Mus musculus: one gene and its partners. The protein of the gene in region 1 purifies or fractionates together with the protein of each later gene. This does not show direct contact. Links are inferred from orthologs where the notes say so. Each region holds a gene or a part of one and is shown in the gene's direction. Other genes may lie near its edges.

The links.
Region 2: the proteins of Rmnd5a (region 1) and Gid4 purify together in Homo sapiens (affinity purification with mass spectrometry; 4 studies listed by BioGRID and IntAct, counting the BioPlex papers as one, with this or other methods). This does not show direct contact. The link is inferred for Mus musculus from reciprocal best matches to the Homo sapiens genes RMND5A and GID4.
Region 3: the proteins of Rmnd5a (region 1) and Maea purify together in Homo sapiens (affinity purification with mass spectrometry; 5 studies listed by BioGRID and IntAct, counting the BioPlex papers as one, with this or other methods). This does not show direct contact. The link is inferred for Mus musculus from reciprocal best matches to the Homo sapiens genes RMND5A and MAEA.

Annotation. Positions count from the first base shown.
Region 1 is NC_000072.6:71,437,935-71,441,682, reverse strand, and holds the start of Rmnd5a (E3 ubiquitin-protein ligase RMND5A), read left to right. Parts: upstream 1-1,045; 5' UTR 1,046-1,543; coding exon 1,544-1,685; intron 1,686-3,748.
Region 2 is NC_000077.6:60,437,634-60,441,281, forward strand, and holds part of Gid4 (glucose-induced degradation protein 4 homolog), read left to right. Parts: intron 1-809; coding exon 810-940; intron 941-3,648.
Region 3 is NC_000071.6:33,334,609-33,338,356, forward strand, and holds the start of Maea (E3 ubiquitin-protein transferase MAEA), read left to right. Parts: upstream 1-963; 5' UTR 964-968; coding exon 969-1,037; intron 1,038-1,499; exon of another isoform or gene 1,500-1,803; intron 1,804-3,748.

The DNA of each region.
Region 1 (3,748 bases):
TATTACTTAAGTGGTGCAACCAAAACAAGCAAAACTCCAAACAATTATTATTTTAGACTTTGACAAGTGATGTGTGAGAGAAAAAAAAAATTGTGCTGTAAGAGATACAATGAATTGATGGAGAAAATTCGGGGAGGCAGAGGTGATACAACCATGGTGGAAGTAGGAATGCTATGAGCAGGCAAGCAAGCTGGCAACTGCAGGCCCAGGAAGGCGGACTCTCCCAGGCCCAGGCTGTGAGGCAGGGACTTGACGAAAAGCTAGTAGGGTAGAAGCCTGGTGAGCAAGAGGGCACAGGCCAAGGCCAGAACCCCGTGGTAAACCAGGGCAAAAGCCCTACGCCAAGGTAAGGGCAAGGAGCAAGGGCCAGGTTGCTCAGCTCGCCCACGCGTGTTCGTGACCGCCGCCAAGATGCCCAGCACGTGGACAAGGCGACAGGGAAGGCCACTTGCAGGCCGAGGGGCGTCAAGAACGAGCCAACGCTGGGCGCGGGCCATCCCTCTAAGAGCTACCACCTTCCATCGGGTTAGTGACCCCGCCCGGGCCCTCCGCCACTAGGCGGCCAGACAGACATCCTTTGGCCCCGGAGGTGGGCCTCTCAGTCGAAACTCCGGCCAAAATTCCATGCGGAGAAAACACAAATTGCAATCAGGGCGAAATCCTGGAGAAAACAGCCCCGTTAATTGCTGTCATGTTTCCCCTCGCGGCTTCCCAGTAGAAGCGCCAAGCTCCGCTCTTCAAGCCAACCCCCCTCCAACAGCGAGCGCATTGGTTTGGCTCCTCAGTCTGGATTGGCTGAAGTTTTACGCCTCGGCCCAGGATTGGAGGATGTTTGTCTCGCTCCTAACCCCCGCGTCGATTGGTCACTCTTCTGCTTCTGGGCGGAGCATCCGGGGACGGTTTCCACCCTCTTGTTTACCGGCCGCGTAGTTGACGCTATCGCTAAAGTTCCCTGTTCAGCTGCGCGGGCCAATTGCGTCGCTCGCCCCGCCCTCGCCCCGCCCTCGCCGCGCTCCCTCACGGCCTCCCGCGTGGTACGGCCCACACCTTCAGAACGCCCGCGCGCCCTCCGCCCGTGCTCGCCCGCTGCTTCCCCCTGACCCCTCGCCGAGTCCGCGATTGGTACGGCCCGCGCCGCCTCCTCCGCTCGTGAGGGAGGCTCGACCCCCTCCCGGGCCGCGGCTATTGGTGCCGCCCGGGAGAACCAGGTCATCGGCCGGTTCCCGTGAAAACAAAAACAATCGGCGGCGCCGCCGAGGGGCGGCCGAACGCGGCGAGCCAGGGGGGCCCGGGGCGAGACGCGGCGCCGGGTAGGGCGGGCGAGCGAGCGCGAGCGGCGGGGCCGGGGCGCCATGGGGCGGGAGGGCACAGGCTGCGCGGGGCTCCCCCGGCGCCGCGGCTAGCGCGCCCGTCTTGCCTTCGCCTCCCGCGCCGCCCGCTCGCCGCCTTGGGGGAGGAGGAGCAGGACGCGGCCTCGGTGGGGCCCGGGCCGAACCACTGCGGACCCCCGGGCGCCGGGGAGCCGAGCGCCGCGGTCTCCGGCATGGATCAGTGCGTGACGGTGGAGCGCGAGCTGGAGAAGGTGCTGCACAAGTTCTCGGGCTACGGGCAGCTGTGCGAGCGGGGCCTGGAGGAGCTCATCGACTACACCGGCGGCCTCAAGCACGAGATCCTGCAGAGCCACGGTGAGGGCGGGCGCGTGGGCGCGCGGGGGTCGGGGCCCTGCGCTGCGTCTGCTGGTCCCCAGGCCGCGGCGACCCGCCCGGAAACGCGGTGGCCTGGGGCGGGGCTGGGGGTCTTGCGGGGTCCTGCGGGCCGCAGGTGTGCGAGTGATAACGAGGGTCTGCGCAGGACTTTGTCTAGTTTTCGGCCTCGCAGACTTTTCTCCCTGATGGTTCTTAGTTTAACGTTCTTAGCTGTGGGTTGGTTTCTACATCATCGGCTGCTGCAACTTCAGAGTTGGACTGATGTGGGCAGGCAGTTCTTCTAAACTCTTCCTAGGAAGCCGGCCGATTTAAACCATTCAGCGTCCCTGCTGTAGCCTCTGTACAGTCCGACCGGGCAGATGTCGAGTTGCTAGTTACTTACCTAGTCCAGTTTGTACTTGTTAATAATCCTTTCAGAAAACAGCTTTTCCGTAGAAGGTGTTTTGCCTACGTTATTTCATCAGTGGCCCTACGTCTTGTACCACAGATGCCAAGGCTAACTCTGAGAAAGAGTTTTGTGTTTTAAAAATAACACTAAAGGTCTGGTACCTTGGAGCCACAATGCTGACTCTTTCTGAATGAGAGATAAAGGACTTGTAATATTATGGATTTACTCAAGAGTCCGGGCCCTTGTCAGTTTTGTGGGCTGAACAGAAATTAAAGGGATATTTATTAGTCAGGGAGAAATGAGGATGTAGCAGGTGAGATTAAGGCAGTGTTAGCCCTGCCTCTCCTCTCCTTTCCTCTACACCTTTATTTCCCAAACACTTCAGTTGTGGGTGACTGCTCCTCCCTGGTAAAGGAGTCTGACAACTTCTGACACAGCTGTCACTTTGGAACGCTGTATAAATATATGCAAAACATGTTGATGGCTTCATGCGAAAAGATTATTTGACTGAATTGATGGTGATGGTATACTTGATGCTAACAGAATAAGGTGGGGTGTGAGAAAATCTGTTGAATTTTGACTCATGAGATTAAAGGGTTTGAATATATGTGAGGTGTATATATAATATATATATATATATATTACATATATACATACACACATATATGGATAGATATAGATATTCTTGGAATATATGTGAGCTAAAATTGGTTGTTTTCTTTTGCTTGTGGTGTTTTGAGGTAAAATCTCTCTGTGTGGCCCAAGCCAGCTTTGAATTTATAATCTTGTCTTCATCTTTCTAGTGTTGGGATTCCCAGTGTGCCCCTCTGTGTTTTCAGATATTTCTAGAAGGACAGTGGAGATCATAGGATGTGAGATGAAAGATCTTAGGCTCTAAACACAACCAAAGTAGAGCAGAAATGAAAAGGGCAGAAAAGGATAAAAAGAGAGCTGCTTAGCTGGTACTTGACATTTTGTGGACAAACCAGATTATTTCAGGCTAAGAAAAAAATAGTGCATACCGAAGTAGAAGGCAGTCAATCCAAGGTGGTCCTAGCTCAGGGCTTAAAGACACCGAACACCCCCCTTTCCCAGAGGACATCTTTGTCTTTTGACCGAAAAGGAGAAAGCCAGTAGGGGACGAGAATGAACATAGGGCCTACACCTGGAGAGGCAGAAGGAATACTCCCTTTTGGGGGACCAGGTCAGAGATTGAGGGGTTGCTTGAGAGAGAAAAGATAGAGAACAGAGTCCTTTCCAGAAGAGTGATTATGGAAGAGGAGAAGTGGTGGTGAGGTTTGTTTTAGGGAAGTTGCAGTCAGTTCCAGATGGTTAAAATGATTGTAAAAATTGCCAGGTCAGGGATTTTAGGCCTCTTTGCTAGTAAGGGAATGTTTCACAAAGCCTGTGGTGTGAGGGGTAGTAGGCACAGTGTATATACCATGCTGTTATAACAGGTAGTGGGGCTTGTTCTTGATTGGCAGCCTCTTTTTTTTTTTTTAAACATTTCTGTGTAACAATGCCTCTGTGGCATCTGTTATTTTCCTTTAATCAGTTGACTAGAATTAAGTAATGAAAAGTAGTTAAACACGAAAGAAATACATACGGATATTAGGTCAGGTTCTTAAGGCAGTCTTGTTTCTTTTGAGTGAAG
Region 2 (3,648 bases), on another chromosome or scaffold:
CTACTAAGCTAGACCTCAGCCCTAAATTAAACTTTAAAATGATATTTGAAGGTTGAAAAAGGGAGAAAAGAGTGTCCATTAAAAAAAAAAATACTGGAGAAGATGGAGAGTGTTTGTGGTAGAGCATTTGTCTAGCACGCACAAAGTCCTGAGTTTCATCCCAGCATTGAAAATTAAATAAAAAGTTTGTTAAAGCAGTGGATTTGTCTCCAGATAATTTCTCTTTTGTCCGGTCACCTGACGCCCTGGGCTTCTGACTCTGTCTCCCAGAGACCAGGAGCAAGGGCATAGCCTTTCACTGCTTGTTGCCAGTTTAGATGGCAGATGCCTGTCTTTGTGGCACAAATGGTGCTGTTTCTTGGCTTTGGTGAGGTATCATGGGCATTCTTAATTCAGTCTGACCAGAAACTCCAGTAGATGTGCTTACCTCATTGTTAGAGGCAATCAAAACCCAGTGACAGGTCCTGGGAACCAGAACTGAAATTTATTCTTTCTAGGTTATTCTGTCAATGGTCTCCAAGAGGTACCAGGTGGGTAGGCAAGTAGGCAGGAAAGTAGTATGGATTGGTCGGTTAGATCCAGAGCTATGTTTCTGTGGGCTTACCACAGTAGGTAGGATACTGCAGTAACCGTGAACACCACCCCCAAACCAGGCAGAAACCCAGCAGTTGAATAGGACCATGTGATCATGGTTTTTTGTCTTGTTTGGGGGCTTTTGTTATTAATTGTTTTGTTTCTAGCAGTCTTTAGAACTCTCTGGTGTCTTACTGGAAAGGGAAGGTCTTGACTGGTCCCATATCTGTGTGCAGGAGCAGTTCCTAGTCCCGGACCACACAATCAAAGACATCAGCGGTGCTTCCTTTGCTGGTTTCTATTACATCTGCTTTCAGAAGTCAGCAGCCTCCATAGAGGGCTACTACTACCATCGGAGCTCAGAATGGTAAGGACCTGTGGCCAGTACTACCTCAGACATTGGCCTCAACTCCAGCTGTCACATCTGGAAGGAGATTCTCCCAGTCTACTTCTGTCCAAATCTTGTACTCTTTGTGTGTGTTGAGGTCATTTAGATGGTTTCACATTGAAAAGGGACTCTTTCCTATCTAGAGAGTGAACTGAAAAGTGGTTATTATGTAAAGATATAGTCTCTAAATACTGTAAAATTTTTTAGACTTTTTATTTAATGTGTATGCATGTTTTTCCTGTATGTATATATGCATACCACATGTGTACCTGGTGCCTAAAGAGATTGAAGAGGACATTGGATCCCCAAGAGCTAGAGTTATGAATGGTTGTGAGCCACCATGTGGGTGCTGAGATTCAGGTCTGGATCTTCTTCTATCTGACTCTCCAGCCCCATTTCTCTCTCTCTCTCTCTCTCTCTCTCTCTCTCTCTCTCCCTCTGTGTGTGTGTGTGTGTGTGTGTGTATGTGAGAGACAGACAGACAGACTCACACAGACACATAAACACGCTCTCTTACAAACACACTAGAGGTAGAACCTCATGCTTGTTATGTGGGATGCAAACCAAGGCCTTGTACATGCTAGTATGTAAGTAACTATTCTATCACTAAGCAGCACCCAGTATATACTTTCAGGCAGTGTTGCATTTTCAGGAATGATTACCTCAATCCTGATAATATATATTCCTCATAAATTTACCAGTAAATTAATGTTATCTCTTACAGACAATGTGACTTTTTAGTTACACCCTGGCACTGCCTCTCATGCACTTGATCTTGGGCTGATGAATGAGGGGGCCATGAGAGTTCACCTTCCTACCTTATGCTGCAGACCCTCTGAGTCCCTTTGTCTGTGTGGAACGAGTCTCTGAGGCAGGTGGACAAGGCGTCAGCGGGTGACAGACAGACCAACATTCGAGATTGTGTAGAATCTGAATGTAATGTCACAAAGTGAACACCAATCTTATATAGTACAGAAAATACAAAGGGTAGCAGGCAAAGTACATTGAAGTTACTTGATACAAAACAAAGGAATGACAACAAAGGGATTTACAGAAACCAGGTAGATGTTTACAGTAAAGATAAAGCAGTCCTGCCTAGGGTCAGCTTAGTGACAGGTAAGGATTTCACACTCTAGTGCTATACCTTTGAACCTTGTGAAAGCTAGCACCAGGGGGTTCTTCTGCTCTTAGCAGGCCTCATGAATAATGCAACATCACAAACCCCTCTCCTCCCCATTTCCTAGGCCTTGCCAAACCCCCACATGAGTGTAACTTTTAAGTAACTGGAGAATCTCCATTTGTCAGAAGAATTCACCAACTTGCTTCTAATATGCAATGTAGCCTGTACTGAAGATTTCTATCTCAGTGGAATTCCCTGGCACTTTCATGGTAGTCCCTTGTTTGGGTGCGATTTGCTACTGTCCTTAGTAAATACTTTGCAGACCAGCTCTGAGCTGCTGGCTCCATCTTTTGTAATGCTTAATTAGTTACTGAATAGGTAACTTCCTTACTGCATTCTTGCTGGATTCCAAGCTTCTGGGACCTTGGGACACTGGGGAGACTTAACTGTATCAGAATTTAATCTTAAAAGGCATTTATAATAAAATATCAAAAGAGAGCTCGTAGTTCCATACACCAGACTAACTCGGAAATAGGGTATGAGTATATGGGTAAATGAGAACGCCAAAGCTCCAGGAGGTGAGTTTCCGTGAAACACTTTTCCTCGTTGAGTGCTTACAGACTTTCAGCCTGTCAAGCAGACTTGACCGGAGGGCGTGGCAACCTTATGTTCCTCCAAGGCTAGGGACAGAAGGCCACCTTAAGTGCTGGCTTTTGCCAAGGGGACTTTCTTGTTTCCTTCCTATACCTTGAGAGTTAGCTGTACCAGTTTATTTATTCTTTGAAATGGAGCACTGTGGGCTGGAGAGATGGCTCAGCAGTAAGGAGAGTTTCATGCTCTTCTAGAGGACCCAGGTTTAGATCTCACCACTCATATGGTAGCTTACAGCTGCCTGCAACTCCAGTTCCAGAGAATCAAATGCTCTTTCATTCCAAGTACCCCCACATATGTAGTACACATAAACTCACACAGACTCACACACATAAATAAAAGTTAAATACATTTTTAAAAAATAAAATGAGACACTAATTTCTTTCCGTTTTTGTTGTTTTAGTTTTTATTCTTACTTGTGAATGACCCTAGCCTACATCGATTCAAATTCTTTGTTCTTTAGTTTTGTTTGTTTTGTGAACCTAGGGACTGAGTTACATTTGTTTGTTTGTAGACATAGTTTACTGTGGTGACCATAAACTGAAGAGATCGGGAACTTGTATTCTTCTGCCTCCAGCTCCTGGGTAGCTCGGATTACAGACCTGCACTCCAGGCTTGACTTTTGTTTTGTTTTGTTGTCATTTCAGACAGGCTCTCACTATGCACCCTTGGCTGAAGAAGAACTCTATGTAGACTAAGCTGGCCTCAGACTCAGAGAGATCTACCTGCTTCTGCCTTCATGTGGTGGGATAAAAAAGGCTTGTATCTCTAGGACAGTCAGGGCTACACAGAGAAACTGTTTCAAAAAAAAAAAAAAAAAAAAGCTTGTGTCACCATGCCCAGCCCCAGCCCCTTAGGGCCCTATTTTTGTGAACTGTATTACAATTATTTTGTAAAAGCAATTCTTAGGCATGGT
Region 3 (3,748 bases), on another chromosome or scaffold:
TGGCCAAATTGAGTTCAAAATAGAAGAATTAGAATGTAGGTAAAAGGCATGATAATTAAGCAATCTCAGTCAAGGTGTGGTCTGGTTGATAGTTACTTCAATTCTGTTTTTCAGGTGGTTTAAAGAAGTCCTCATTGCCTTAGGGAACAGACTGATTCTCAGGTCTTGTGACATGTGCTGTAGGGTGAAGCCTACATCACAGATAATTGCTTTCACTCAGGAGCCCTGGAAGATCCACGTTGCTTAGTTTATCAGAAAGATGTTAACTGATCATTACTATTGCTCCAGGAATTCAACTTGACTACAAGTTTAGGTCAGGGACTGGACACCTTCAGACGCCTTTTGGACCCCAAATCAAGGATTCATCGCTTTTTCACAAATGCAGTTCCCAAGTGTTCCTTATGTTATTACTGGCAGGAAAGCACAGCTGCTCGATAGCCCCTCCCTGTCTTATTCTATTGTAAACATTCTTTATCTTTTATTGGGAAGCCCGCTCTTGGACGCCAGAGCTGTTAATCGGCGAAAATGGAGATGAAGGAAAGTAGTTCCCGGATGGCAAAAACCGCACCCCTAAGTGACCATTCAGAGATAACGGCCACCGAGCGCTGAGGCAGGGCCTGTGACCACTACGGGAGGCGACTTCGGAGGTGTGTGTGTGGGGGGGGGGTGCGACCACAACGTGAGTCGTCTCAGCCCCAACCCTCCGAACGTCCATGGCGTCGGGATCCCCGCTCTACTAAATCCGCATCTGCGGCCTACGCCAGCGGACAATTCAATGAGGAAGCCGCTCTCTAGAGCTGCCGGCGATTGGTCGAGCCCGTGAAAGATGATTGGCTCTGGCCTTCTTCCGCTCGGGCGGCCCGGTGACACGATTGGTGCAGACTCATAGCCGCTCCGCCTGCTCCCGTACGTAGCACGTCACTATCCGGCGTGCCCCGTACCCGCCTCCTCCGCTCGGCCGGCCCAAGATGGCGGTGCAGGAGTCGGCGGCCCAGCTGTCCATGACCCTGAAGGTGCAGGAGTACCCGACCCTCAAGGTGCGTTCTAGGCGCGGCTAGGGTCGCCACCGCATCTTGGGAGGGGTCGTGGTGGTGCAGGGGCTGGGTCGCTGCCGGAGTCGCTTCTGGAGGGACTGCACGGCCGGGGGCGGGGTCGGGGGCGGTGGGGCTGCGGCTCTCCAGCGCGATGGGCACGGGCCGGGGCCTCCCGATGGGGCCAAGGGGGACCTCTCGGTGTACTGTGACCTAGGTGGTGCGGGGCGACAGAGTCAGAGGGCTTCCGAGGCCCGGGCGGCGGGGCCTGAGCCCTGCCTCCCACCCAGCCTTCAAAGCCGAGAGGCTGCGGGCCGTGCGAGTGCGGGCAGCGAGGCCACGGCCGGGGCGGCGGGCACTAAAGAACCAGGGGCCCTGGACGCGGAGGTGGGTCGCGGCGGCCCCGGGGCGTCCTTCCGGAAGCTCGGCCTGGGGCGTGGCGGGCATGCCTCTGGTGCTAATTAGGGGGCCAGTGGGGAGCACTGGCGACCCGGTGGCACCCCGCCTCGCTGGGCGTCCCCAGAACTCCAGCGCAGCTCCTGCCCTTGGTTTCCGGGGCGTGACCTTGGGTGGTCGCTGCGCCAGTGCGTTCCTTTAGGACAAACGTTCATCCCCGCCGGAAGACTGGGAGGCTTCAGTTGCTAGAGGGCTTGATGGTACCGGATGGACTGCGGTGAAGTACCTGGGAAGAAAAGCCTTAAGAGGAAGAAAAAAATTCTTTGGTTCCAAGGAAGGCCGGCAGAGCCTTCGTGTTCTACATTCCTTGGCTGAGGTCTGGGCAGCTTTTCTTCTGGAGCTCTTGGCACCTCATCCATCTCTTTGGTGACCCAGTGGTTGTTTGGTGGTGGGTGGGTGGGTCGTTTAGCTAAGGTTGAAGACTACAGGTTCTAGGCGAGACCGCTTTTTCTGTGCTTAGGGAGACCCAGATTGTATGGGAGGCACCTGACTTCTGCTGGTGTTCCCTTGTCTGATGTAAGCCCTAGGGAGCACTTGTTTTCCTCCCCGAGGGTGAAGTGAGCGAGCTTATATTGCACATGGAAGTCTTGGCATTCCCTGGAAGGCATCTCTTGTCATTGTCCCTGTGACATCTGACTGCTCTGGAGTAGTTTGTCTTCACAGGAGGGCAGAAGCAAGGCCCAGCTGGCCTTCTTCTATAGTTGGTGAGCAGCCATATTTGATCAATGTTTTGTATCCTGTGCTTTATTTGACTAAGGAAGGGAGCAAACACCACCAGTCTTTTTTGTCAGATGTTCAAAATGTATGGCTTGGGGGAGTAGGAGGTACTTGTGACAGACCTCGGTCTTGTACGTGCTAGGCCAATGCTCTGCTACTGAGCTACATCCTCAGGCCTTGTTTTCTTTCTTTCTTTTCTTTTCTTTTCTTTTCTTTTCTTTTTTTTTTTTTTTTTTTTTTTTTTTGAGGCAGGCTTCTGTAGGCCATGAATCCGAGTGCTGGGATTACAGGTGACTCTTACCAATCCTGTAGTTTCCTGGCACTCTTGGATTTCTGTTGATTGACAGATGGAAACCCTGACTCTTAACAGTGGTCATACTTGGGGCCTTCTATCACTAGACCTGTAACCACTGACGTCTGGGCCTCGCCAGGACTTCCAGACCTGTTGCAATGAGGTTGCTTTGGGAGAACGTGGCTATTTGTTCTGGCTGGTGAATTTGGGACCCACAGACAGGAAAGGTTTCAGAGCTCCCTCCCTCTCTGGCTTACTGAACGCATTAGGCAGTGAAATGGATGGTCAGGGTTCCTCCAGTCCGTCCTCTGGTGACCAGGAATGCACTCTGCATTCCAAAGCTATTGCACAGCTCTGACGAAAACGATTCTGTGGATCTCTGTGCAGGTACAGAGAGGTGGTGGTGTCATGGAAACAGAATCACACCTTTTCTTTTCTTTTTTTCTCTTTGACGAATGATAGAAAGAAAAGTTTTTGTGAGTAGAAATGCTACTCCCTCCAGGTCCTGCAGACCCTTGCCTTATAACTTCTCTGCTTTGTTGACAGTGTATCTTTGCTTTGTTCACGTTTTCCCCTTACATTGTTGTTGTTTGGCTGGTTTTGACTTGTTTTTTTTTGAGACAGGTCTGTTGTAGCCTTGGCTGGGCTGTAACTCACTGGGATAGCTAAGGATGACCTTGAGTTTCTGATCCTTCTTACTGTCTCCTGAATGCTGGGATTCCAGGCAGTGCAGTGAGAGAGATCAGATCCAGGACATCTGCATGATGGGCAAACATCCTGCCAACTGAGATGCATACTTAGCTGCACTTCTGTACTTTTTCAACAGTAATTGATGGTGGGCACTTTATACTTTGATTCAGAAGTGTTTGATGACAGAATCAATCAGAATACCAGGAGAGAGGTGTTTGTGGTCAGTCCTTAGGAGGGTCCAGATGCATGTATGGCATGTGGGTTGGGATCCCTCCCAGAAGTGAAGACTGGTGGCTGGAGGGCTCCCCAAAAGCAGTTGGGACTGCAGTATACTGGACAGACTTAAATTTTTTAAGATTTATTCTTTGAACATTTCATAACTTATGTATGTTTATTGACAGATTGTTCACCTGCAGAGCAAGGCCTCTTCAGATGTGCAGCCTTGGGATCTGGCGGGTGGCTTAAGCAGTGGACCTAGATGTCTGTTTTGCAGTCTCAGGCACCTGGCAGCCATCTTCTTTTCCTGTGAGGGGCTATGGTGGCATCCCCTGACCCTGGGCAT